7 linked regions of the Ovis aries genome follow. The protein of the gene in region 1 purifies or fractionates together with the protein of each later gene. This does not show direct contact. Links are inferred from orthologs where the notes say so. Each region holds a gene or a part of one and is shown in the gene's direction. Other genes may lie near its edges.

What was found.
Region 2: the proteins of CTNNB1 (region 1) and CDH5 purify together in Homo sapiens (affinity purification with western blotting; 11 studies listed by BioGRID and IntAct, counting the BioPlex papers as one, with this or other methods). This does not show direct contact. The link is inferred for Ovis aries from reciprocal best matches to the Homo sapiens genes CTNNB1 and CDH5.
Region 3: the proteins of CTNNB1 (region 1) and RUVBL2 purify together in Homo sapiens (affinity purification with mass spectrometry; 5 studies listed by BioGRID, with this or other methods). This does not show direct contact. The link is inferred for Ovis aries from reciprocal best matches to the Homo sapiens genes CTNNB1 and RUVBL2.
Region 4: the proteins of CTNNB1 (region 1) and SIAH1 purify together in Homo sapiens (affinity purification with western blotting; 4 studies listed by BioGRID). This does not show direct contact. The link is inferred for Ovis aries from reciprocal best matches to the Homo sapiens genes CTNNB1 and SIAH1.
Region 5: the proteins of CTNNB1 (region 1) and CDH11 purify together in Homo sapiens (affinity purification with western blotting; 3 studies listed by BioGRID and IntAct, with this or other methods). This does not show direct contact. The link is inferred for Ovis aries from reciprocal best matches to the Homo sapiens genes CTNNB1 and CDH11.
Region 6: the proteins of CTNNB1 (region 1) and CDH10 purify together in Homo sapiens (affinity purification with mass spectrometry; 3 studies listed by BioGRID and IntAct, with this or other methods). This does not show direct contact. The link is inferred for Ovis aries from reciprocal best matches to the Homo sapiens genes CTNNB1 and CDH10.
Region 7: the proteins of CTNNB1 (region 1) and ZMIZ2 purify together in Homo sapiens (affinity purification with western blotting; 3 studies listed by BioGRID, with this or other methods). This does not show direct contact. The link is inferred for Ovis aries from reciprocal best matches to the Homo sapiens genes CTNNB1 and ZMIZ2.

The regions. Positions count from the first base shown.
Region 1 is NC_056072.1:13,853,880-13,857,379, forward strand, and holds part of CTNNB1 (catenin beta-1), read left to right. Parts: intron 1-1,541; 5' UTR 1,542-1,589; coding exon 1,590-1,602; intron 1,603-2,041; coding exon 2,042-2,269; intron 2,270-2,461; coding exon 2,462-2,715; intron 2,716-2,846; coding exon 2,847-3,085; intron 3,086-3,174; coding exon 3,175-3,376; intron 3,377-3,500. UniProt on the Homo sapiens protein: Key downstream component of the canonical Wnt signaling pathway.
Region 2 is NC_056067.1:33,719,338-33,722,837, forward strand, and holds part of CDH5 (cadherin-5), read left to right. Parts: intron 1-599; coding exon 600-716; intron 717-1,583; coding exon 1,584-1,748; intron 1,749-2,552; coding exon 2,553-2,740; intron 2,741-3,500. UniProt on the Homo sapiens protein: Cadherins are calcium-dependent cell adhesion proteins. They preferentially interact with themselves in a homophilic manner in connecting cells; cadherins may thus contribute to the sorting of heterogeneous cell types.
Region 3 is NC_056067.1:55,312,493-55,315,480, forward strand, and holds the end of RUVBL2 (ruvB-like 2), read left to right. Parts: intron 1-1,203; coding exon 1,204-1,323; intron 1,324-1,699; coding exon 1,700-1,829; intron 1,830-2,158; coding exon 2,159-2,273; intron 2,274-2,371; coding exon 2,372-2,397; 3' UTR 2,398-2,488; downstream 2,489-2,988. UniProt on the Homo sapiens protein: Possesses single-stranded DNA-stimulated ATPase and ATP-dependent DNA helicase (5' to 3') activity; hexamerization is thought to be critical for ATP hydrolysis and adjacent subunits in the ring-like structure contribute to the ATPase activity.
Region 4 is NC_056067.1:16,326,995-16,329,548, reverse strand, and holds the end of SIAH1 (E3 ubiquitin-protein ligase SIAH1), read left to right. Parts: intron 1-67; coding exon 68-918; 3' UTR 919-2,054; downstream 2,055-2,554. UniProt on the Homo sapiens protein: E3 ubiquitin-protein ligase that mediates ubiquitination and subsequent proteasomal degradation of target proteins.
Region 5 is NC_056067.1:32,319,393-32,322,892, reverse strand, and holds part of CDH11 (cadherin-11), read left to right. Parts: coding exon 1-245; intron 246-3,267; coding exon 3,268-3,387; intron 3,388-3,500. UniProt on the Homo sapiens protein: Cadherins are calcium-dependent cell adhesion proteins. They preferentially interact with themselves in a homophilic manner in connecting cells; cadherins may thus contribute to the sorting of heterogeneous cell types.
Region 6 is NC_056069.1:48,986,110-48,990,343, forward strand, and holds the start of CDH10 (cadherin-10), read left to right. Parts: upstream 1-1,434; 5' UTR 1,435-1,779; intron 1,780-4,234. UniProt on the Homo sapiens protein: Cadherins are calcium-dependent cell adhesion proteins. They preferentially interact with themselves in a homophilic manner in connecting cells; cadherins may thus contribute to the sorting of heterogeneous cell types.
Region 7 is NC_056057.1:78,409,176-78,412,624, reverse strand, and holds part of ZMIZ2 (zinc finger MIZ domain-containing protein 2), read left to right. Parts: intron 1-350; coding exon 351-495; intron 496-572; coding exon 573-783; intron 784-1,440; coding exon 1,441-1,546; intron 1,547-1,756; coding exon 1,757-1,914; intron 1,915-2,803; coding exon 2,804-2,871; intron 2,872-3,135; coding exon 3,136-3,204; intron 3,205-3,449. UniProt on the Homo sapiens protein: Increases ligand-dependent transcriptional activity of AR and other nuclear hormone receptors.

The DNA.
Region 1 (3,500 bases):
TGAGTAGTTGGTTTCTGAGCCCTGTGGCATTGGCCAGAGGAGGAGCTCAGTGTGGAACATATAAGTCCCCTTCCCTAGCTGGAACGGGGTATGGGGAACCCATTTTTTCCAAGGGGTGGGGAAGAAAGGGTTAAATAACCAGTCTCAAAGATAGGCAAAAGATAAGGAGCTAAAATACAGCCATAAGTGGACAAAGAACCTAGGTTTCTTCCGTCATTATATTTCTTACCATGTGGTTTACAGATTGCTTTCTGCATACTAGAGTGTTAATTAAAAATGCAAGTTTCTACACCCCAGTCCTATCCTACTAAATGGAAACATGGAACACATAATCCTGCTTAATACTTGATTTTAAAATATAGGTTTCTTATTGACAGGAATCATTTGTTACATCCTGACCTTCATTTTGCCTTCTAAGTAAACTGTCAATTGTTTCTACTGTGGATGATAAAACAGTTGTATCCACAGCTCTTGTCACCTTTAGGTGTCAAGTGATCTTTGTGGCTATAAAAATCCAGTTTTGGAAGAGCAATTCCAGGATAATCAACACATACTTCTTTACATAGGACAGAAAATAGGACTTTAAAGTACAGTTTCCAACTGCATTAAACACATTTAAACTTCTTTGTACATTGTTTTATGAAAAACACACTTCACGTTTAAATATCTAGTCCACATTGGTAATTTACATCTAATATTTAATTTGTAGTACAAAGTGAACTTGTTAAGGGACAGACTTTGTAATGAAGGAAATTTTGTTAGGAATATCTGGAGACCCTGAGCTCTTAAACTGGTCATTTGCAAATAGCTGCATAATTCAGCATTTTCCTGAATATTACACAAAAAAGCCAAAATGGAGACATAAAATTAGATGCTAAGATTTTTAATATATATGTGAATGATTTTTATATTGATTAAAGTATTCCAGACAGTAATACTTGTATTTATAATAAATCATTGCTATAAATTTGAACTTAGGAAAGTTTTAAAAATGGTGCTTCTAATTTTGCGTTACAGACTAATTGGAAAAGTAATGTTACTTCTTAGTAAACCATCTGAAATCTGTTCTGATCCAGTCACCATACCTGCTTTATGATGATATTTTAGATGGCATTGTAATATCAGAAGACAGTTTTAACAGTTGACTTGTTCAGTGAAATTTGGCGTTTTAAAAATCCCATTGGATGTTTGTTGTCAAAAGAAGACCTATGATTTTTTTAGTGAAAGAAGTTAAAAAGGGAAAGGAGAGGACTTTTGAAACCCAAAGAAGGGTTGATTTTGAATAGCCTTTTTCCCCTGGCTTTATACAAAGAGGTGCTGATTAGAGTTTAAGTGAAAACTTAAAAGTCTGGCAGTGATAGAGCTGTGGTTGAAGTATTTAGAGGAGATCATAAGGTCTGTGTTTCACTGTATCACATGGTAAAAGAGGATTTGGGGCTTTTTGTGGATGTAGTCCGTGATGTTTGACAGACTATCCTAGTGACTTATAAGTATTAAAATCAAAAATTTTAAATACTAATGACTTTGATTAACTCTTTTAGGGTCGCTGAAGTACACCATACTACCTTTTTGAAAATCTTGCGTGGACAATGGCTACCCAAGGTTTGTATTGTAGACTTTAGTTACTGAAATTGAGGCTCTGCTTCGTTGCCATTAACCCAGTCTGGCTCAGATTCCCCTGCTTTCCTCTCTCCCTGCTTACTTGTCAGGCTACCTTTTGCTCCATTTTCTGCCCACTTCTCCTAATGGCTTGATGAAATAGCAAACAAGCCACCAGCAGGAATCTAGTCTGGATGACTGCTTCTGGAGCCTGGATGCAGTACCATTCTTCACTGATTCAGTGAGTAACTGTTAGGTGGTCTCCTAAGAGTATAGATTTTTCATCCCTGAGCTGATCCTGGCCATCATTCTGTTATCCTTCGCTGTCTTTCAGACTTTATTTCTGAAGATTTCAGTGGGTAATATCACAGATTTTTATTTTCAAATTAAGATAACATTTTCCTGGTAGTAATATTGATGGTTTTTTTTTTTTTTTTAATAGCTGATTTGATGGAGCTGGACATGGCCATGGAGCCAGACAGAAAAGCAGCTGTCAGTCACTGGCAGCAGCAGTCTTACCTGGACTCTGGAATCCATTCTGGTGCCACTACCACAGCGCCTTCTCTGAGCGGTAAAGGCAATCCTGAGGAAGAGGATGTGGATACCACCCAAGTCCTGTATGAGTGGGAACAGGGGTTTTCTCAGTCCTTCACTCAAGAACAAGTAGCTGGTAAGAATATTATTACCTACTCAAAGCTAGAGTGCAGTTTTGAGAACTGCATAGTTACTCTTATAAAAGTTAGCATACAACAGCTTAAGTAAAACAGTGTGGTCAAGAAAAGGGAGTGATTGCAGCCTCAGCTTGACTGTTGGGGTGATGCTGAGCTCATGGAGATCTGACTGTCGAATTCACCTTTTCCAGATATCGATGGACAGTATGCAATGACTCGAGCTCAGAGGGTGAGAGCTGCCATGTTCCCTGAGACGCTAGATGAGGGCATGCAGATCCCATCTACACAGTTCGATGCTGCTCATCCCACTAATGTCCAGCGTCTGGCTGAACCATCACAGATGCTGAAACATGCCGTTGTAAACTTAATTAACTACCAAGATGATGCAGAACTTGCCACACGTGCAATCCCTGAATTGACAAAACTGCTGAATGACGAAGACCAGGTAAGTAGAGACATGGCCAACTTTTTAATCTGCTTTGAAGGAAACTCTCAAGGAAGTAGTCTTAAAATGTCTACCTTACATCAGTATTTGAAAATTGAAAACTAATGTTTCTTAATTCCTGTATATTATAGGTGGTGGTTAATAAGGCTGCAGTTATGGTCCATCAGCTTTCTAAAAAGGAAGCTTCCAGACACGCCATCATGCGTTCTCCTCAGATGGTGTCTGCTATTGTACGTACCATGCAGAACACAAATGACGTGGAAACAGCTCGCTGTACTGCTGGGACCTTGCACAATCTTTCCCACCATCGTGAGGGCTTGCTGGCCATCTTTAAATCCGGGGGCATTCCTGCCCTGGTGAAGATGCTTGGGTAAGAAAACATGGTCAGAATGCTCCAAGCTCAGGAGGAGAAGAGTGCAGTCACACCATTTCTGATGAGACTTTTTTCCTTCTTCCCAGTTCACCAGTGGATTCTGTATTGTTTTATGCTATTACAACTCTCCACAACCTTTTACTGCATCAGGAAGGAGCTAAAATGGCAGTGCGTTTAGCTGGCGGGCTGCAGAAAATGGTTGCCTTGCTCAACAAAACAAATGTTAAATTCTTGGCTATTACAACAGACTGTCTTCAGATCTTAGCTTACGGCAATCAGGAAAGCAAGGTAAAAGAATTATTTTGAATGTGGTTGTCATGGAGCCTTGGAGACCCCCAGTGTCATGTCCTTCTATAGATTTTTGCAAATTTATTGTATGCCTTATACTCCGTATGTATCTCAGAGAAGTTGG
Region 2 (3,500 bases), on another chromosome or scaffold:
AGATAAGGGGTTACCTTTAGGGTCTATTTAGGAGTCGCGGGGGGAGCAGTGGAGAGGGACACACCTCATCCCCAGGTATGTCACCAGCCTGGACCCTAGGCCCCCAGAGGAGACTATTTCTTCCTCAATTCTACTCCCAGCCTCCAGGGGATGCAAGAAAAGAGCTCCCATCCCCACCCCTTCGTCCAGGCTCTCTGGTTAGGGCTCAAGACCAGACCTTCTTGTTAAGCCTGGGGAGCCTGGAGTTCAAGGGGAAAGACATGCGACACCCAGTCTTTTGGGACCCTTCCTATTCTCTTGTTCTCATGCTTCCAGGAGCAAAAATAGAGCAGCTCTTCCTCTGTTTCTCTCCATGACTGCAGACACTCACCCCTCCCCTCATTTCCCCCATAAAAGAAAACCACTGCTCTCTTCACCCTACATGTTTGACTGGCTGGGCCTCCGCCACTGTCAGCACTTCAGCGCCAGGCAGGCTCCTCAGAAAACAGGACCCGGGAGAGGGGGTTCAGGGGACAGCCTGAGCCCCATCTGCCCTCATCTGGGAATGGGGTGAGGGGCTGGTGGTCACAAGGCAGTAACCCTGGATTCTCTCCCGGCAGGGACCTCGGTCATCCAGGTCACAGCAGTGGATGCAGATGACCCCACAGTGGCAGACCACGCTTCTGTCGTGTACCAGCTCACAAAGGGAAAAGACAGTTTCGACATCCGTGGCCCTGGTCCGTGTGACTAACCCCCCTGGGCAGCACTGGCTTGGAGCGGGTGGAGGTGTAGGCACAGAGGGAAGCCCAGTCTGACAGATGTCACCAAACACTGACTCGCAGTGTCCTGTGGAGGCGGTCGGTACCACGCGTCAAGACAAGGGGGCTGGTGAGGGCAGGAGGAGGCAGACAGGTGCCCAGGATGTAAACTCAAGTCCAGGGGACAAAAATCCACCCAAGCAGTGACACGAGAGGCAGACGAGAAGGCTAGTTAGCAGCTCTGGCTATGGAACCACACAGATCTGGTTTCCAACCCCATCTCTGCTGCTCACCACTTCTAAAGACCTTGGGCAAATCAACCAACCTCTGAGCACTGGCGAGTCCTCATGGTGAAAATGGGGAAGGTTATATGCACGCACCCCATACAGGAGCTGTGAAGTCTGAATTAGATGACGTATAAAGAGCATGTGGCTCGTTGTCATTAGCTATCACATGTGACCTAAAAAAACTGTAAGGACTGAGTCTTTGGAGAAAGACAAAAGTCCAAGTGGTCAGGCCTGGGGCATGCCACCATTCAGAACAATGGCGAATACACAACCTATGCTGCACTGAGGCATAACCCATCACAGCACTTTGCTCACTCTGAGCCTAGATGTGGCCTCAGGCTCTTTCTCGGCCCACAGTGGACAAAAGTGTTTGTGTGGCTTTGGCCTGACAGTGCAGGGCGTGGAGATGGGTGGTGGATGTCCCCTGGCTCTTGGCCCTGGCTGCACAGGGACGTCACCCAGGAGCTCTGAAGTCACGGCTCTCTGGGTAGCGTCTGGGCATCCATATTCTTTAAAAGTTCCTCAGGTAGCATGGTTCCTGACAGGACACATTTTGCAGGACTCATTGTCACCATGAACAAACACCTGGACCGAGAGACGCAGGATAAGTACGAGGTTGTGGTGGAAGCAGAAGACGCCCAGGGCCGCCGGGGGGAGTCAGGCACAGCCACTGTGTTCATCACTCTGCAGGACGTCAACGACAACTTCCCCATCTTCACCCAGTGTGAGCCCCTCTCCCTGGGCCCTGGTGGGGGCGGTGCTCTCAGGGAGGAGCCTGGCATCCATCCACCTCTCCCTCCACCCCAGAGTGAGCCTACATCAGAGATGGCTTCCCGGCGCTCCCCGTCTCTGCACATACTCCCAAGGCTGCACACCTGGCCTGCCAGGGCGCCCTCTTGGGCCAGCAGCAGATCATACTCTCTGTTGTGTCCCACATGCCCAGAGTCCCACTAACAGACAGGACCAGTTTCACCCAGTTTCCATGAGCTTGGGAAAACCCACGAGCTGGGGAGCCAGGGTTCAGCAGAGCGCCAGAGCCAGGGCTGGGCCCTGACCCACCCACAGACTGACTCTCCCCACAGGAAAATGTCCAACAGGAGCTCTTCACACGCGCTGGGTGGGGAGGAGGTCAGATAGGCTCATCACCTGCACCTCCAAGGCTGATGCCACTCAGAGGCTCAGCCACTGCAAGGACAGGCCAGCGTGCCCTGAAATGACCTCACTGTGAATGGTGAAAGCTCCTCAAAGGCAGGGCTTCTCCTCTTGGCAGTTGACAGATCCCCCAGCAAAGTGCCTGACATACAGGGGGTGCTTGATAACTACTTGTCAGATGGATGAAGGGATGAAAGGACAGATGAGTGGAACCTCTGTGCCTTGAGACCCAAAATTCCAGAGGAATTACTACTACTGCTTCTGCTACTTTATTGTGCCTGTTGCTTGTATCAGAACATACTGGGATAGTATATGCGACAATTACCTTGTCTACCTCATTAACCCCATGCCCTTTGGGGCACCCCTTCTGCATCAGCCAGGTACACATTTTCTGTGCCAGAAGACATCCGCGTGGGCAGCCCCCTGGGCTCTCTGTTTGTTGAGGACCCAGATGAGCCCCAAAACCGGAAGACCAAGTACAGCTTCGTGCAGGGCGAGTACAGGGACACCTTCACCATCGAGACGGACCCCACCCACAACGAGGGCATCATCAAGCCCATAAAGGTTCGCAGGCCTGCAGCTGTGGCATCAGATGGGGGACTGGGGGCCCTGGCATGCTCAGGACTCAGCCAGGGGCTGCTCCTGGGTCAGAGGCCACCAAAGGTCCACGTTTGGGCCAGCGTGGAGCAGGCCACGTGCTCGTGGATCCTGTGACCCTGGAGCTGGGACGTGGAGCCACGAAAGAAGGGTCAGTCCCTTGGGCTGGGCTACCCCAGAACCAGACCTTGAGGCAAGGACTTAGGTGTATACAGCTCATTTGGGGGGTGATCTCAGGAAGCCCCCAGGAGCAGTGAGATGTAAAAGGGAGGAGAGTTAAGACAGGCTCCTTAGTGAGCAGGTGATCACTGTGGGTGAGTGGGAAACGGTCCCACTGGGGACATCTAGGCAACTATGCGGAACATGCTTCTGAGTCGCAGCAGTTGTGGGCTGCCTGAGGGCTCCTGGGGGCCCACTTCCTGGCACTTTCTGATCTGCCCTGGGCGCTGGCGAGGACAGCCCTGGTAGAGTACAGGTGCTTGCAGCCAAAAGCTGTCAGTGTGTAAGGACACAGTGAATACCATGGGGATGGGGTGCCCACTGGCAGTGGCTGCTGCAGAGAGGGCAAACCAGCTGAATCTAGAAGAGGAGACAAGGTCTGCCGGGGGCACAAACTGCCTCCAGAATGGCCACGCCGAGGACTAGGGGGCCCAGGCCAGGGATCTCCTCCTCAGAGGGGACACTCGAACCTGTGTACCTGAGCCAGACCACTCCTCCAGCAGACCTC
Region 3 (2,988 bases), on another chromosome or scaffold:
CAAATGAGCGTGTTTGTAGCAGCTGCAGGTCAGGCCATGGGATCGGGGGCATCACCTGTGAGAGGCTGCAAACCCAGTCACTCCTCATTATCCTGCAGGTTCCATATTTGTGATTCTGCTTATTCGCTACAGATGATCTGTAGCTCCCAAATCGATATTTGCCACACTGGCGGTCACTCACGGATGTGTGCAGAGCAGGGAAAAATTGAATGGCCCACAGCAGACAGTCCAGGCGAGGGTCAAAGCAGGCAGTGCTCCGCCTCCTAGTTTGAGCTCACGGGCTGCAATCAGGCGTCCTTTTCTTTGTCTACTTGTTGCCACAGGCGTCACACTGTGTGCTGTTTGTTCCTGATGATTTTGTGGTTTAAAATGGCCCCTAGGCAACTTAGCGGGCAGTCAAGTGGTTGGGAGTCCACACTTCCAAAGCAAGGAGCAAGGGTTCGATCCCTGGTTGGGAAGCTAGGATTCCACATGTTGTGTGGAGCAGCCAAAAAATGAAACAAATTATAAAATGTCCGCTAGCTGTCTAATGTCTTTGAGCACAGCAGGGATGGACCGTATAGAGAAAACAGTTGTTAGATAGCATCCGTCAGGCACAAGTTCAGAGGCTGTGGGCATGAGTTCAGCATGAAAAGTCAATAATATATACTGAATCGGGTGTCTTTAAACAGAAACACCTGAAACCAAGCTATCTGGTGGCCAAAAATTGTGACAGAGGCTGCCAAGAGCCTAGCCATGTGTTACTGTTTCCTCCATGGGCGGTGGTTCAGTACTTGCTAATTGAGTGATCGCCCCCAGTTATAGATCACAGCTCCCACACATAACAGGAATCTGCTATTTCCTGGTACCCGCCACGTGCCTGACCTTGTGCTGGGCCAGGTGCAGTGAGGGTACAGGGTGGGCCCAGTCCCTCCCTTGTGGAGCTCTGGGTCCAGCAGAGGAGTGGGACCTTGATCCAGTAATCCCAGACCTAGATCTCTAGTTCAGACCAGCCTGGCTCTGGATGGGGAGCAACGCAGTCAGAGGGTGGCTACCACGTCAGGTGGTGACGCCAGCCCTAAGCTGAAGGCTCAGCGGTATTTGGCCCAGTGAGTGGGCTGTGGCGGAGAGGGCGGGTGGGGTGGGGTGTTCTAAGTGTAGAGAGGGGAGAGCCGGGTTCTAGGAGCGTCACCCTGATGGCCCTCCCTTCCTCCTCCTCTGCAGGATCCGGGGCACCAGCTACCAGAGCCCCCACGGCATCCCCATTGACCTGCTGGACCGTCTGCTCATCGTCTCCACCTCCCCCTACAGCGAGAAAGACACAAAGCAGATCCTTCGCATCCGGTGCGGGCAGGGGCCCTTGGCCTTCCCGGGCAGGACCAGGCTGCCGGCCTGAGGGGCTGGTGTCCATCCTGCTTGACACGTGGGGACCACTGAGGTCTGCGGGGGAGGTCTCTGGGCCTGCCAGAAGCAGGGCTGGGCGGGGCATCCTAGCAGTGGCCTCTGGTGGGGGGCGCGGGGCTTTTTGGACAAGGGAGGGGCTGTGCGGGTGCCTGGCGCTGGGGAAAGAGCCCTGAAAGGGGGAGGCTCCGGAGGCCCGAGTTTGAGGTCCAGCTCCTGCCTCGGTGGCCTTTCTCACTCTGTGTTCTGGGCTTCCGAGGATTCTGACTCCTCATGGCTCCGTCCCTGGCTGAACACCCCCGCCCCTCCCTGCCCGCAGGTGCGAGGAAGAAGATGTAGAGATGAGTGAGGACGCCTACACGGTTCTGACCCGCATCGGGCTGGAGACCTCGCTGCGCTATGCCATCCAGCTCATCACGGCTGCCAGCCTGGTGTGCCGGAAACGCAAGGTGAGCCGCTGAGTCCAGCCAGCGTCAGAGGAGTGAGTGGTCCACACGCTACTCTCCGGGCTTTCCCTGGGCAGTTGCATTTAGTCCCAGAACTTAAGTTTTCGAAGGTGGGAACTTCAGGCCCTTGGGTTTCTTTCTGTGGCTCCCAGCCTGACACATGGGAGGTGCTGGGTAAATATCTGTTGGCTGCAGTGGATGCCGTTAAGTCCGTTTTACAGGTGAAGAAACTGAGGGATGGAGCGGCGGGGCCCACAGCCAGGAGGTGGCCGTGGTGGGACATGACCTGGCTCCTGGGTGGGGCCCCCCTGAGGTCTTGTGTCCCCCGTCAGGGCACCGAGGTGCAGGTGGACGACATCAAGCGGGTCTACTCTCTCTTCCTGGACGAGTCGCGCTCCACGCAATACATGAAGGAATACCAAGACGCCTTCCTCTTCAATGAGCTCAGTGAGTGTCCCCCACCGTGCCTGCCCCGGAGAGGGAGGAGGGAGCCCTGGCCCTGCCTGCTGGGCCGTGCTGACCATGTGGCTTTCCTTCTCTCACAGAAGGTGAAACCATGGACACCTCCTGAGCTGATCACCCTTCCCCCCACCGCACCCCACCCCCCGTTTTCTACTAGAGTTCTGACACTGTGACTTTGTATAAAATGGTTCTGAAACTGGGCCCATTGTGTGTGTGTGTGTGTGTGTGTGCGCGCGCACAAATGGGTGCACACACCCAAGCCCCCAAAAAGACAACACTAGAGTGCAGCTTGAGAAGTCTTTATTGGGAAGGGAGGGGAGGAGCGTCTGCTGGCTTTGGGAGTTAGGGTGGGCATGGGAGGTTGAAGTGGGGCATCCTTAGAGGAAGAGGATGTCTGGGAGCGGGGGGTGGTCACAGGCCAAGGGTTGGGTTCTGGGACCCCCGCAGTCAGTGCTGCTGAGGCGGCAGGGCCCACAGTGACAGCTGAGGGCCACGGGGAAAGAGACCATTGGGTCCACGCCAGGTGGGCAGCCGGGGAGCCGAACGGAGGCGAAGCGCAGCTCGTGGTAGGTGCACACCCGCTGGGGCATGGGCGGCAGGATGACAGGCAGCACCCGCTTCTGGAGGGCGGGGAGCTTGAGTGTTTCCATGGGGCTGAGCTCTCCCCCGAGCTCCCCCACTGCACCCCACAGATCCCAGG
Region 4 (2,554 bases), on another chromosome or scaffold:
AACATGTTATAGTTGTAATTAATTTTCTCCTGCCTCCTTATACTTTTATTTGTGTTTTTTATTACAGAAATGAGCCGTCAGACTGCAACAGCATTACCTACCGGAACCTCAAAGTGTGCGCCGTCCCAGAGGGTGCCTGCCCTGACGGGCACAACTGCCTCCAACAATGACCTGGCGAGCCTCTTTGAGTGTCCGGTCTGCTTCGACTATGTGCTGCCACCTATTCTCCAGTGCCAGAGTGGCCATCTGGTTTGCAGCAACTGTCGCCCAAAGCTCACATGTTGTCCAACTTGCCGGGGCCCGTTGGGATCCATTCGCAACTTGGCTATGGAGAAAGTGGCCAATTCAGTACTTTTCCCTTGTAAATACGCCTCTTCTGGATGTGAAATAACTCTGCCACACACAGAAAAAGCAGACCACGAAGAGCTCTGTGAGTTTAGGCCTTATTCCTGTCCGTGCCCTGGTGCTTCCTGTAAATGGCAAGGCTCTCTGGATGCTGTCATGCCGCATCTGATGCATCAGCATAAGTCCATCACAACCCTGCAGGGAGAGGACATAGTTTTCCTTGCTACAGACATTAATCTTCCTGGTGCTGTTGACTGGGTGATGATGCAGTCCTGTTTTGGCTTTCACTTCATGTTGGTCTTGGAGAAACAGGAAAAATATGATGGTCACCAGCAATTCTTTGCAATTGTACAGCTGATAGGAACACGCAAGCAAGCTGAAAATTTTGCTTATCGACTTGAGCTAAATGGTCATAGGCGGCGATTGACTTGGGAAGCCACTCCTCGGTCTATTCATGAGGGAATTGCAACAGCCATTATGAATAGTGACTGCCTAGTCTTTGACACCAGCATTGCACAGCTCTTTGCAGAAAATGGCAATTTAGGCATCAATGTAACTATTTCCATGTGTTGAAATGGCAATCAGACATTTTCTGGCCAGTGTTTAAAACCATTGCATTTGATTTCACAGAGAATAAGGCACCTGTCTGCCTACCAACCAAAAACTTGTGGTAGGTGGAAGCTAGACACATGAAGGTAAATAAAAGGAAAGGCTGTTAAATACAGGAAACAGTTGCATGTAATAACACTAATATATTTAAAAATAAGTCAACAGTAAACCACTGAAAAATAAATATATATATATATACACCCAAGATGGGCATCTTTTGTATTAAGAAAGGAAGCATTGTAACATAATTCTGAATTTGTGTTTGTTGTAGATTGAGTGTACCGTTGAAAAATACTGGGTTCTTGTTTTTTTGTGTGCCTGTGCGTGTGTGTGTGCGCGTGTGAGTATGTTTGGATTTTTTTTTCCTTCAACTGACAAGCCATGTTGAGTGGTCTTGGACCACTGCTTTTCCCCTATGTGAGTCAATACATAGTGCTGCTGTGTGTGTATATTTTTTTTCTGTGTGTATTTGCTAATTTTTATTAATTATAGTTTTTCATTAAATAAATTTGACTTTCTTTTCTGTAATTCAGGTTTTTCCTCACTTTTTTTTTTGTACCTTTTAAAGTTAGTGTCTTTTTGATATGCATAATTGTTGATGGTAAAATTTATACATGTGTTCGATACATATTTTCTTTTCCCCCATTAATCAGTTCATTAGAAATATTTTAAATTCAACTGTTTTGTGAAGATACGAGTTTCAGAAAGGAACATCAGAAGAATTGTCAGAAACTAGTTAAAGCAGGAAAGATAACATCAGAAGAATTATCAAACTAGTTAAAGCAGCTCTAAAATGGTCTCCCTCTCTTCTCCAGTTGAGTCATACCTTCAGACTTATTCTTTGTAAGGTTAGGGAGTACTGATTTTTTTTTTTTAATACTGGGGAAAAAAAAAATCAGGCTCTCCGTTCCCCCCACATATCTTGGACAAATCACATATGTTTAAAATTTGTTCTTGTGTTTATTGGTTTTGCAAAAGAAGGCATCGTCTCACACAGTATTTGTAATTAAAAGCAAATCATTTGTTTAAAAAGCAGTTTGCAAAAAAATGTTTTTGGTCTTTTATAATTCTCATTAAAAGAATATCTGGCAAATTAAAAACTCTTACGTGTCTGCTTTAGCTCTTAAGTTTGAAGATAAGCAAAAGAATGGGTTATGGCCTCTGTTCGGCCTGCAGTCTTTTCTTCCTTTCTCAGCTTTCATTTTGATTCTCCTAACTCTATTAGGAGGCCAATTAGTTAAAATACTGATCACTCCCCCACCCCCAACCACCCCCCCCACACCCCTTTAACAACAAAAAAATGAGTTAGTGTTCTGCCGCCTAGTGGTTAGAGCCTAGCTTCCGCAGCCAGCTTCCAGGGACCTACATGCCTGTGCTGCCTTTACTCACTAATCAGCTGTGTGATGCTGCACCCCCGGTTACTGGTGTGTAAAATGGGGTTAATTGTGGTAGCTACCTTCAAGGGTTAGATGGGATGGATACAAGTTACCAAGGACAGTGCTCTGCATTAATAAGCACCCAGCAAATGTTAGATACTTGTATTATGCCTGTAACTAGCACCATATAGTTAACTGTTGCTAGTTACCCTGAAGCACCTAGA
Region 5 (3,500 bases), on another chromosome or scaffold:
AGGTGAAGGAGCCGGAACCATTTTTGTGATTGATGACAAATCAGGGAACATTCATGCCACCAAGACATTGGACCGAGAGGAGAGAGCCCAGTACACGCTGATGGCTCAGGCGGTGGACAGGGACACCAACCGGCCCCTGGAGCCACCGTCGGAATTCATCGTCAAGGTCCAGGACATTAATGACAACCCTCCTGAGTTCTTACATGAGACCTATCATGCCAACGTGCCCGAGAGGTCCAACGTGGGTACGTAAGGGAGGGGGAGGACGGACCTGCTCCACCTGCAGGCCTGGTGTCTCTGCAGGTGGGTGGGCTGGTGCCCATTCTCCCAAGTGGGGATATAGAATTTATGCTGTAGCTTCTGTGTTCAAAATAACCAACAAAAAACATTTCATGTCTATAGTTGAAGTTTCAAATATTTTAAATTGCCCTGAGTTTTTAAACTGTAACCTTACAAAACATGAGGAGGCATAGAAGAATAGGAAAAATGTGATGGAACCCAGGCCATCCTGGCCCTGGTGCTTGTTAACCTTTTGACTTGGAATCAGTTCTATCTGTTCTCTTAGCCTGAGCTTCTCCTCTGTAAAATGGGACTAAAAGTTTCTACTCATGTAGGATTATAAATAGTATACATCTGGTCACTAGTGCATGTTGGTGTTGAATAAGTAATAGCGGCAGAGTTTGTAGCATGTCAACACAGTGCTCATTAATGATTTACATGCCCTGTTGCATTTAATCTTTGCAGTGACTCATCTTTGCAATGAGGTAGGTCCTATTTGACATATTTTGCAAATGGGAAACCAAAGCTAGAAACAAGTTAATTATAATTTATTCAAGGTCATCTGAGCTATTAAGTGGATCCAGTATATACACCTCACCATGACACTGTGTCACCATCTGTTAGAATAATTCATAAGCAGCTATGTCTTTCATCATGCATACAGACACCTAACATTGTGAGTGGACAATTCTCCTGGCAATAATTCTTGTTTCGCTTTATAGAATGCAGGTTGTTGTACTTGCTTTTGAGAAGCATGCCTCATATTAAGAAGGGTTTGCTTTTCAGACAGTGACCAGGGCTGTTCTGATCAGGGAGTAAATACAGTTATGAAATCAGAGATTTAAAGTTCTGATGAGCTTAAGGATCATCAGGGCCAAACTGCCCATTTTACAGATGAGAAAACCAAGCACAGAGACTGAGAATCAATTTGCTCAAGAAAGTAGGACACAGAAGTAACTCTAAATCTCTACTCCTCGGGACTTCCCTAGTGGTCCAGTGGTTAAGAATCTGCCCTGCAATGCAGAGGATGTGGGTTCAATCCCTGGTCAGGGAATTCATATCCCATGTGCCTTGGAGCAACTAAACCTATGAGCCACAACCAGAGAGTCTGCACACTGCAACGATAGATCCTTCATGAAGCACCTAAGACCGGGGGCAGCCGAATAAAAAAAGATTAAAAAAAACTCTACTCCTTCCACTTTGCATATAGAGCTTGTGGTGCAAAAAAAAAAAAAAAAAAAAAAAAAAAAGCCCTCTTCTCCTCCAACTAACGTGAAACCCTTCTCATACTTTATAAAAACTCACCTGGGTCTATTCTATCTTCTCTTTGCCTTGCCCAATTCTTTAGTTTCTCAGTAGTCACCTGGGGACTTTTAATGAGAAACAGCAGACATCAAAGAAATCATTAAATAGAGGACAACAGCAGCTGAGCCAGGGGGAAAAGGCCAGTCATCAAAAAGGATGCTCCAGGGAAATTTTCATTGACCCCATGTCTTAGGGCAGCTTAGTGCTTAAGGATTAATATCAGACTTTGCATCGTGACCTATGAGAGTTGTCTGCTGTCAGACAGTTCTGGATTGGAATCATGGCTGTGCCTCTGACCAACCAGGTCAACCCAGACAACATCTTACATCTTTCTCAGTTTTCATTTTGTCGTCTATCACATGAGGATAATGTAAACTCTGATGAGGGTTAAATAAACATAGATGTAAAATACAAAGAGTTGTAATGAACTTAGTGGATTTCTTGAAGTAAATTAAGCATAAAAAATAATACTTTGACAAGCTCTACTGTGAAAGTAGAGAATAGAGCTTACTAATGCTATTACAAATGTCCATGATTTAGAATAGTACCTAGTTTTGTGGGAAGAATCCTCCCCCCAAAGTTGTTTGTATGAAAAAATGAATTACAGAATTTTTTTAAAAAGTAAAATTTGTTCTTACACTGTGTGAAAATCACCAGCAAACTTGTAGATCAGGGGGCTGTATAAGTGGCCTGCCTTGCCACTCGTGTAGAACCTGGCTCCTCTGTTGAAACTGTCACGGAAAGAACTTGGGCTTGGTTGTTTGCTGGGTAGAGGTCAGTATCCTGACTCTGACAGTGACCCACTTTGCAAAACAGACTGCAGAACTTCCTACCTGTTATACTCAGTAACTCACAAGTACAATGAACCAGTAGAAAGCACCTAGCAGAGGGGCAGAATACTTGGAACATGCCCCAGACAGTGCTTGGCACAGAGGAATTCTATAATCACCAGCCCTCTCCCTTGACCATCTCCCCTGCCCCATTCTGAACCATCAAGGAACAACGGTTTTTCCTCTGAAAAACAGAATCCCCTCTTCTTTCAATTCGCTGGTTTCTTTCCACTGCGGCTCGCAATTGCTGGCCTTAGATCTCACCAGATGTCTACTGGTGATTTCTGTTGTGTGACTACCAGACCCATTGGAGGTGGGAAGATGCAATTTTCATGCCAGTAGGGAACAACATTCTGTACAATATTTATGACCATAAATTAATTAAAATGTAGTATTAGCAGCCATTTTATTACATGCAAAGCAACAATAAAATGATGTATTTATTGCTCTGCTACAGATGGAAGACTGCACTCTGTCCTTTCATGAAAAGCAATTCATCATTAATTATCCTTTATTATACTCTTTGGGAAGATTTTTATTTAATTATTTGATATACTGAACATTCCAGTTGCATGGGCCTTAGAATGTTTTTGCAATAATGTTCACATTATTATTTTAACTACTAAGCATAGCAGGATGCACTATGAATATAGAAAGTTCATTTTTAAGCTATTAGGATTAAAAAGGGAGGGAGGAGGAAGGGAAATTATTTTTGCATCTCAGTCTGGAAAATCAAAGCATATTGAATAATATGGGGGCTCTCGTTAGTTTTTAATCTTAAGACAAAATTTGCAAACTAGAATAGAATTTGAAAAGCGGAGGGATTGTCTCTAATGAATGTTTCACTTTTAAGGAACGTCAGTGATCCAGGTGACAGCTTCAGACGCAGATGACCCCACCTATGGAAACAGTGCCAAGTTAGTGTACAGCATCCTGGAAGGACAACCCTACTTTTCAGTAGAAGCACAGACAGGTACCATGGAATTGCATTGTGATTTGTGACACATTGTGAATAAGGAGTCCAGGCCTGCTGGCTGAAACCTTTTTGAGTCTCAGTTTTCTAAAATATAAAATGGGCCGCCTAAC
Region 6 (4,234 bases), on another chromosome or scaffold:
TTTCCCATTATGCTAGGGGGCCTGCGGTTTCCCAGATGACTCAATGGTAAAGAATCCTCCTACCAAAGTAGGAGATACAAGAAACACAGGTTCGATTCCTGGGTCAGGAAGATCCCCTGGATTAGAAAATGGCAATCCGCTTCAGAATTCTCGCCTGGAGAATTCCATGGACAGAGGAGCCTGGCGAACTGTACAGTCCAAGGAGTTGTAAAGAGTCCGATGTGGCTGAGCACCCACACACACACATGTAAGAGGCCTACAGATGCTAGAATAATAAAATAGGTACCCAGGCAGTAGTATGACATTTCAGAAACAGTACTAAACTGAAATTCTAAATACACATAAGTATATATGTTATATGTTTAATATGTCTATATAAATATAAAATATGTACTGTCATTCTAGTTTTTATTCTGTCACGAGTTAGCTCTGTGTCCTTAAGTAGATCATTTACTATTTCTGAGCAGTAGTATGTATTCTAAAAAGTTATCTTCATAATCCTCCCTCAGCTTTACAGTTATTTTTATATTATATTATTATTTTATAGTATGTTAATGTAATTTATTTATTTAAAAAGGAACCTACATGAAGCCAGAAAAATATAAAAACGCTCATTATTTTGTGGAGCTATACTGACATCCTTTGGTAAGGTTTTGGTTGATTCCAATTTAACGTCGAGATAAATAAATAGAGCGATAAATAGTTAGATGGTTAAGTAAACAGAACCACCCAAATGTATATCTGCCTTCCTCCCCCCGCTTTTGGGCATGACACTCAAGTTTCTGAGAAAAAAAAAAAAAAAAGTTAAAAAAAAAAAAAAAGAAAAACAAGAAAGGAAACGATGTCCAGCCCCAACTCTAAATATTTTAATAGCGTTAATTGCATATTTACATCATGAATAAAATATTATATCTATCAAATCAAAAGGCAAAGCAGGTAAGATTAAGCAGACAAGACTAGCTCACGAACATCCCCAAACGACGAGCAAGGTATGTTCTCCTATGACCATAAGCGATAAAAAAATAAAATATTTGGAGAACCAAGGAAAAGAAAGTTCACTGAAAGCAAAAATAAATATTAATTCAAACCGCAACCAAAATCACTCCGGTAACGATTCAGATCTGGTTGCAATTTGACTTGGCACTCGCTTCATGGATTTCGGCGATCTGGAGTTAAGGATGGTGCAGGGATATATATGTCAGATGAAGAAGAAGTATCTATTAAAAAAGAATTGCGAGAAGCAGTCCCGTTCTTGAGATTGCATTGCGGACACAGCCGGATTAGATCGGGCTGATTACCTTAGCCTTGAAACAGAGAGTCTTTCTGCCCTGCGGGGGAGGGGACGCCTTTCATCCGAAGCCCTCCTCTCGGATGCGCCCTCCCCTCGCATTCACTTGCAAATCGCTGTGTGCGAGCAAAAGCCAGCACTTCCCCAGTCTCTAACCTTCCCATGGCGAGTGCTGCAGCTCTATCAGCAGAACCTTTCTCTCCGAGTGAGGAAGGGTTTTTTTCCCCCTCCTTCCTTTTCTTTTCTTTTTTTCCCCCCCTTAATCAGAAGCACTGAATGAAAGCCAATCAGAGAGAACTCGCCCCCCGGTTTCTTCGGTTCCCTGCCGTCCAGAGTTAAAAGTGATGCTGAGAGAAAGCTTGAGTTAGATTGAAGTAGAATCAGTAATAGGAAATAGCCGAAAACAAACAAAAAGGGGATATAGTGACAATTTCTCCAGGGTTATTTTGGCTGGAACCAACTTCCGTTATCCAGAAGCTGATAAAAAAAAGGTAGGAAGACTTCATCTCTCTCTCTCTCTTTTTTTTCCTAACTCCCTTAAGGTCTCTTATTTTCTCTCCCTGGGGGAGAATGTTTGTTTTTAAGTTGTATTCGGCAGTTATTTTCAAATAATTATCTTTAACATGTTAAAAAATTACTAAGCATAAAACTATATATTGTATTCTAGAAACCACTGCTTTGAATAGCCGAAGAGGTAATGTGAAACTGGATAAATTACATATTTATGCTCAACAGTGGGTTATGTTGTTAGAGTTTGTGAATTCATTCACTCTGATCAAATGCTAATAATATATTATGGAGGGTAATTTGTTATGCTCATGCTTGTTCGTCTTAATGTTAAAAATCCCTTGAAGAGAAGATTGTTGCTTTGAACTCTATCATTGAACATTACTTTGCATTCCATATGAATGGATCCCCTCTGCACTTATTTATAGTCATAGTTCATTGTAGGTTCAATATAAGGAGAAATGACAGGCAGAAGACAGATTCCTTGAACCTGTCAATGGTCACTAAGCATCTACATAAATAAGAAAGATTGGCACTTATCAGAAATAGAATAGGCATAATTCCTAGATTCGCATTTTGTGTCTGAGTCAGAAGTATGAGAGAGGAAAGATGAAGAGGGGAGATGAAATGCATATAGTCAGCAGTTGCAGCATTTATTGTCTCTGCTGCAATAAAATCCATATTTTATGTGGTGTTAAATTAATGCAGCACATTGCAAGACTAAATGCATGTCCCCGACAAGTAACTATTGATAGCACTGTAAGTATGGGCAAAAGCAGTAGTCTGAAAGTGTTTTCCTGCCAATGCAATAAAAACCACCATCTCCTTATCATTAAAAAGAGGAGTCTACAGGTGCAAAGACAAACATCAATTTAAAATTGACCTCTCATCTTTTGCTTCCAAAAAAACAGATCTATTTCCTGTAATTGTGGTTCTTTATTCCAGTAAAAGCTTCTATTATCCGAAACTGCACATGTCTTATGCTCAGCTGTTCAGAGATGGATGTTTTCTTTTCTTTTTTTTCTTGTTGTTGTTGTTTTCTTGAAGGATCTCTATTAAAAATAGTCTGTCCCTCTGATGCTGACAACTGGTAAACCTCAATGTATATGTTAGTAGACTTTCTCCCTCCACAGCATCTTCCTCTGGGTCCTCCTTTAAAATGTAACTACAAGAGCTTCTCTGTGGTGAATAACACTTGGCAAGAGTGTGCTCATTTTTTAGGTCTGGTATGGTGAGGATTTTTAATTAGTAGAACTTTCATGAAAACATTATGTCACTGACAAGAGCTCTAGATTCATTTTTAGTTAAAGTGATGAAAATAGGAAGGGGGCTGTATCATAGAGAAAGAGGTAAATGACAAGTTAGATACCTAATCTTCTTGCCCCTCTCCCTACAGCATAGTTAAGGTGGCACGTTTGTATTCAATGTGTAATGCATAAGGAAATAGTGATTTATTGGGAGTGGGGTGGGCTGTGGAGCAAAGGCATTGGAGTGTGCTCTGATCTAAGCAGAGTGTGTTTGTGTCTTAGGAACATAACAAATACAGATCCATTCTGATCATGAAAACATAAAGAAGTGCTTCTTTAACTTGCTTTCACTTAAAAAAATTATGTGTTTTTAGAGTATGAGTGAATGTCTGCTTTCATTAAATCAGATACTTCTTTGGTTTCAAATACTTGCTGCTAACAAATTGACTTCCCTAGTGAATGCGTATGTCTTTTCTGACTCCAATCAAAGAATAGAATTCCATACACTTACATGCCTGAAAAGGGGGAGAAAAGAGAGAGAGAGAAATCCCAGGGACTTGGGAAAGGAGCACATAATCTGTATGGCATCCACATAGGCATGTATATGTGTGAAGTCAGTGGTCAAATTGCTTGATTCCTGATTAATACTTCAGGTGATAGACCTAGATGTTTATAAAACCTAGCTGTGTATTGATAAGAATGGTACTATACAGGTATCCAGTTTAGTATTATACTGTTATATTTCCACTTACACTAAGATTTTCTAAAGGAAAAAAAAGGATAGAAAATTGACTTTCTATCTAGAGAGATATACATTACTGGCACAATATTAAGAAAGTGTATTGGAAAGAGGCTTTTTATTTTTTTCTTGAAAAAAAGAGAGTGTTTGAGACTGAAAAGGTTAATTCCAGCTGTGTGAACTCTGTTCAGAGTCTAGAATCCATCTTTTGATCTTCATTTAATAACACATGTAAACAAATGACTGAGGCAAAGTATCTATTAACTGGGGGATATTGGACATATGAACTATTTCATATGTTTCTTAACCTACTTTGCAGCAAGTGATAAGCCAGTGCTCCTGGAATATGTCATTTTTATACCAAATCATTCCGCTAGGCTGCAGCACAGGAACAACCTTCGCCCTAATGATGCTGAATCAGCAGCATAGTGAACCATATTTTTAAGTGTTATT
Region 7 (3,449 bases), on another chromosome or scaffold:
GGCAGGTGGCCTGTTGACACCCCTTCTGCCTCCTGCTCCCTCTGAAAGCACCAGAAGCACCACCTTTTTGGGTGGGGAGCGTGTTCTCTTAGAGTCATGATGCAGGGATCATTGGGCTAGGCGACTGAGGCAGGGAAGAATAGCAGGACACCAAGATCCTGTTTCCATTGGAGGTGAAGGCCGAGCCCAGAGTCCTAAGAGAGATGCTGTCCTAAGCCCCAGCCCCATGGAAGGGGAGGAGGGGCCACACTCCCCTCAACCATGGACCCCACGATGGGGGAAGGGGCAGGCCTGGCCTGGTGGCCATCAAGGGCCGGTGGCCTGCTCACACCTGCGTGGCCTACTTCCAGGCAGCGGCCCCTGTGACGAGCTGCGGCTGACCTTCCCCGTGAGGGACGGGGTTGTCCTGGAGCCCTTCCGCCTGCAGCACAATCTGGCGGTGAGCAACCATGCCTTCCAGCTCCGAGACTCCGTCTACAAGACCCTGATGCTGAGGTGAGCGGACGCCTGCCCCACGGCTCGCGGCCCCACCCGCCGCCCCCTGACTCTCAGCGTCCGTCCTCCCCATGCAGGCCTGACTTGGAACTGCAGTTCAAGTGCTACCACCACGAGGACCGGCAGATGAACACCAACTGGCCGGCCTCCGTGCAGGTCAGCGTCAATGCCACCCCGCTCACCATCGAGCGCGGTGACAACAAGACCTCCCACAAGCCTCTCTACCTGAAGCACGTGTGCCAGCCGGGCCGCAACACCATCCAGATCACTGTCACCGCCTGCTGCTGTGTGAGTGCCCATAGCAGGGCAAGATGGGGCCATCATCACTGAAGAAGATGGCACTGGCTCTCTTCCTTCCCATGATAGGCCTTTGAGAAAAGGGTCTCAGTTAAAAATGTACTGGCAGCTTTCTGGTTAGGTTCAGTAACTAGATTTGATGCTCATGTAAGCATCAAATGTTAATTATGTAAGAGAAGCAAACTAAGCTTGCCTCTTTCCTGGAAGAAGCTCACAAAGTCCCGAGTCCCAGCTGACCCTGAATCCTTGTTAAGGAGTCATCTGGATTCTGGCAGCTCCAGATCCAGCACTAGAAGAGGCACTTAGATGCACAGCTCTGATCAGCTTAGGTGGGAGGGAGCGGAGGCAAGGCAGCCCTAATGCGGCCCTGTGGGCCTGGGGTATCACGTGGACCCAGCATAGGATACCAGTGGATGCTGCAGGCAGGGTGCACTCAGGGGCCTCTCAAATAATTGTGTTTCAGCAGAGAGGCCATGGTTGAATACTGGTGCGGATACACATGAGCTTTATCGATAGGTGTGGGTGTGGGCTCCTGACTGCCCGGGGAGGCGCGGCAGTAGCCTGCCTGTGCATTAGCTGTGAGAGGAGAGTGGGCCAGCACGAGCCTCCTCAGGCCGCACCCCGCTGACCACATCCCTCCCGTTGCAGTCCCACCTCTTCGTGCTGCAGCTGGTGCATCGGCCATCCGTCCGCTCAGTGCTGCAGGGCCTCCTCAAGAAGCGCCTCCTGCCCGCCGAGCACTGCATCACCAAGAGTGAGTGGTCCTCGCGCTCCTCAGCTCTGCTGGGGCCATTGCCACACCTGGCACGTCCCCGTGTTAGACAAGGCTGTCTCCTCTGGGTTGGGGCTCCATGCAGAGGGTAGCGGTCAGTCCCAGAATGGTCCTCAGAGGTGCTGAGCTAGCAGTGGCCTAGTCCCGCTTGGCAGCCCTCGCTCACATCCTGCTTTCCCCTGTTGGTGTCAGTAAAGCGGAATTTCAGCAGCGGAACCATCCCTGGCACCCCGGGGCCCAACGGAGAGGATGGGGTGGAGCAGACGGCCATCAAGGTGGCCCTCAAGTGCCCCATCACCTTCCGCAGGATCCAGCTCCCTGCCCGGGGCCACGACTGTCGCCACATACAGGTGTGTGGTCACCACAGCGCTTTGCCAAAGCTTTTGCTGCCGTTTAACTGTTTTTGGTGGATGTGGCCTCTGAGCACCTCGGCTGGTGGGTGGCAGGGCAGGCCAGTCAGTGGACGGGCAGCCTGGCTCCCCTGCCCTCTTCCCTCAGGCTGGGCTTTTGTTTCTTCTAATGTTATCCTAAGTGTAACAGCCATTTTACTGGGTTCTTGGGACTTCATTGTATTTTACTTATTTGCTCTTTTACTTACTTACTTGGTTGCACTGCGTCTTGGTTGTGGCGTGCAGATCTTCAGTCTTTGTTGCGGCCATGTAGGATCTTTCAGTTACTATGGGCAGAATCTTTAGTTGTGGCATGTGAACTCTTAGTTGCAGCATGTGAGATAGAGTTCCCTGACCGGGAATCAAACCCAGGCCCCCTGCATTGGGAGCATGGACCCACCTGGGCCACCAGGGAAGTCCTGGGGCTCCGATTTCAAACAGCATCGGGGATGCAGGGCACAGTCTGCTCCCTGCCTTGCCCCCAGGAGCAGCACCTTAGGTTCTTTCTGCAGAAGCACTGTGGGTAGACAAGTACCCGCACCCTCCCCCTCACTCCCCACCTTTTGGTTACATAAGCAGTATACCCATCGCTGTACGTCATGTTTTTCTTCCATACCATGTCCTGGAGGTTGTTCCCTATCAGCACAGTTGGCCAGTTCTTGCTTTGGCCACATGTCATTCCCGTGAGGGCTCTGTAGGCATCCTATCTCTTACATGAGGATGGTGCCACGGTGAAAGCCTGGCACATGTGCCTTCTCAAACATGCAGTAAATAAGCCCTACGTCCCTGGAACTGCAGGGCCGGGTTACCCCAGCCCCAGTGTGAGTAACTGTCTCCCCTTTCTCTGCAGTGCTTTGACCTGGAGTCCTATTTACAGCTTAACTGTGAGCGAGGGACCTGGAGGTGCCCTGTGTGCAAGTGAGTGTGTCAGAGACGGTCCCCGTGGCTCTGGGGGTGGGTGGCATGTCCTCAGGGACTATTAACAGTCATTTCCTTCCATCAGCACTGAGAAGTGCCTGCCCCAGATGTGGGGCTCACAGTACAGGCCTGGAAGGTTGGTGCTGCTCGAGGCAGCGACCTCACACAGGGTCATTTCACATAGGGGTCAGAGATGTGATGGGGCCCGTGCCCTAGGTGAGGTCGGGCCAGCCTTCTGAGCTGTGTCCCCTTGGTTTCCTACAGCAAGACGGCGTTGCTGGAGGGCCTGGAGGTGGACCAGTACATGCTGGGCATCCTCATTTACATTCAGAAGTAAGTCTGCTTTCCTGCAGCCCCAGAGGGCAGCCCTGGGACAGGCGCGGAGATACCCCGTGCTGGCTCAGCATGGAGCAGGCTCAGCTCCAGGCCATGGACAGAATCCATGTCCACCTGCATGCCACAGGCACGTGGAGTGTGCTGGGCAGCCACAACCATTTGAGTGGAAGGTCGGCCTAGGAACAGTGCAGGGCCGGGAGAGGCTGCAGGGCAGCTGGTAACCAGCCCCACTGTCCCCACCC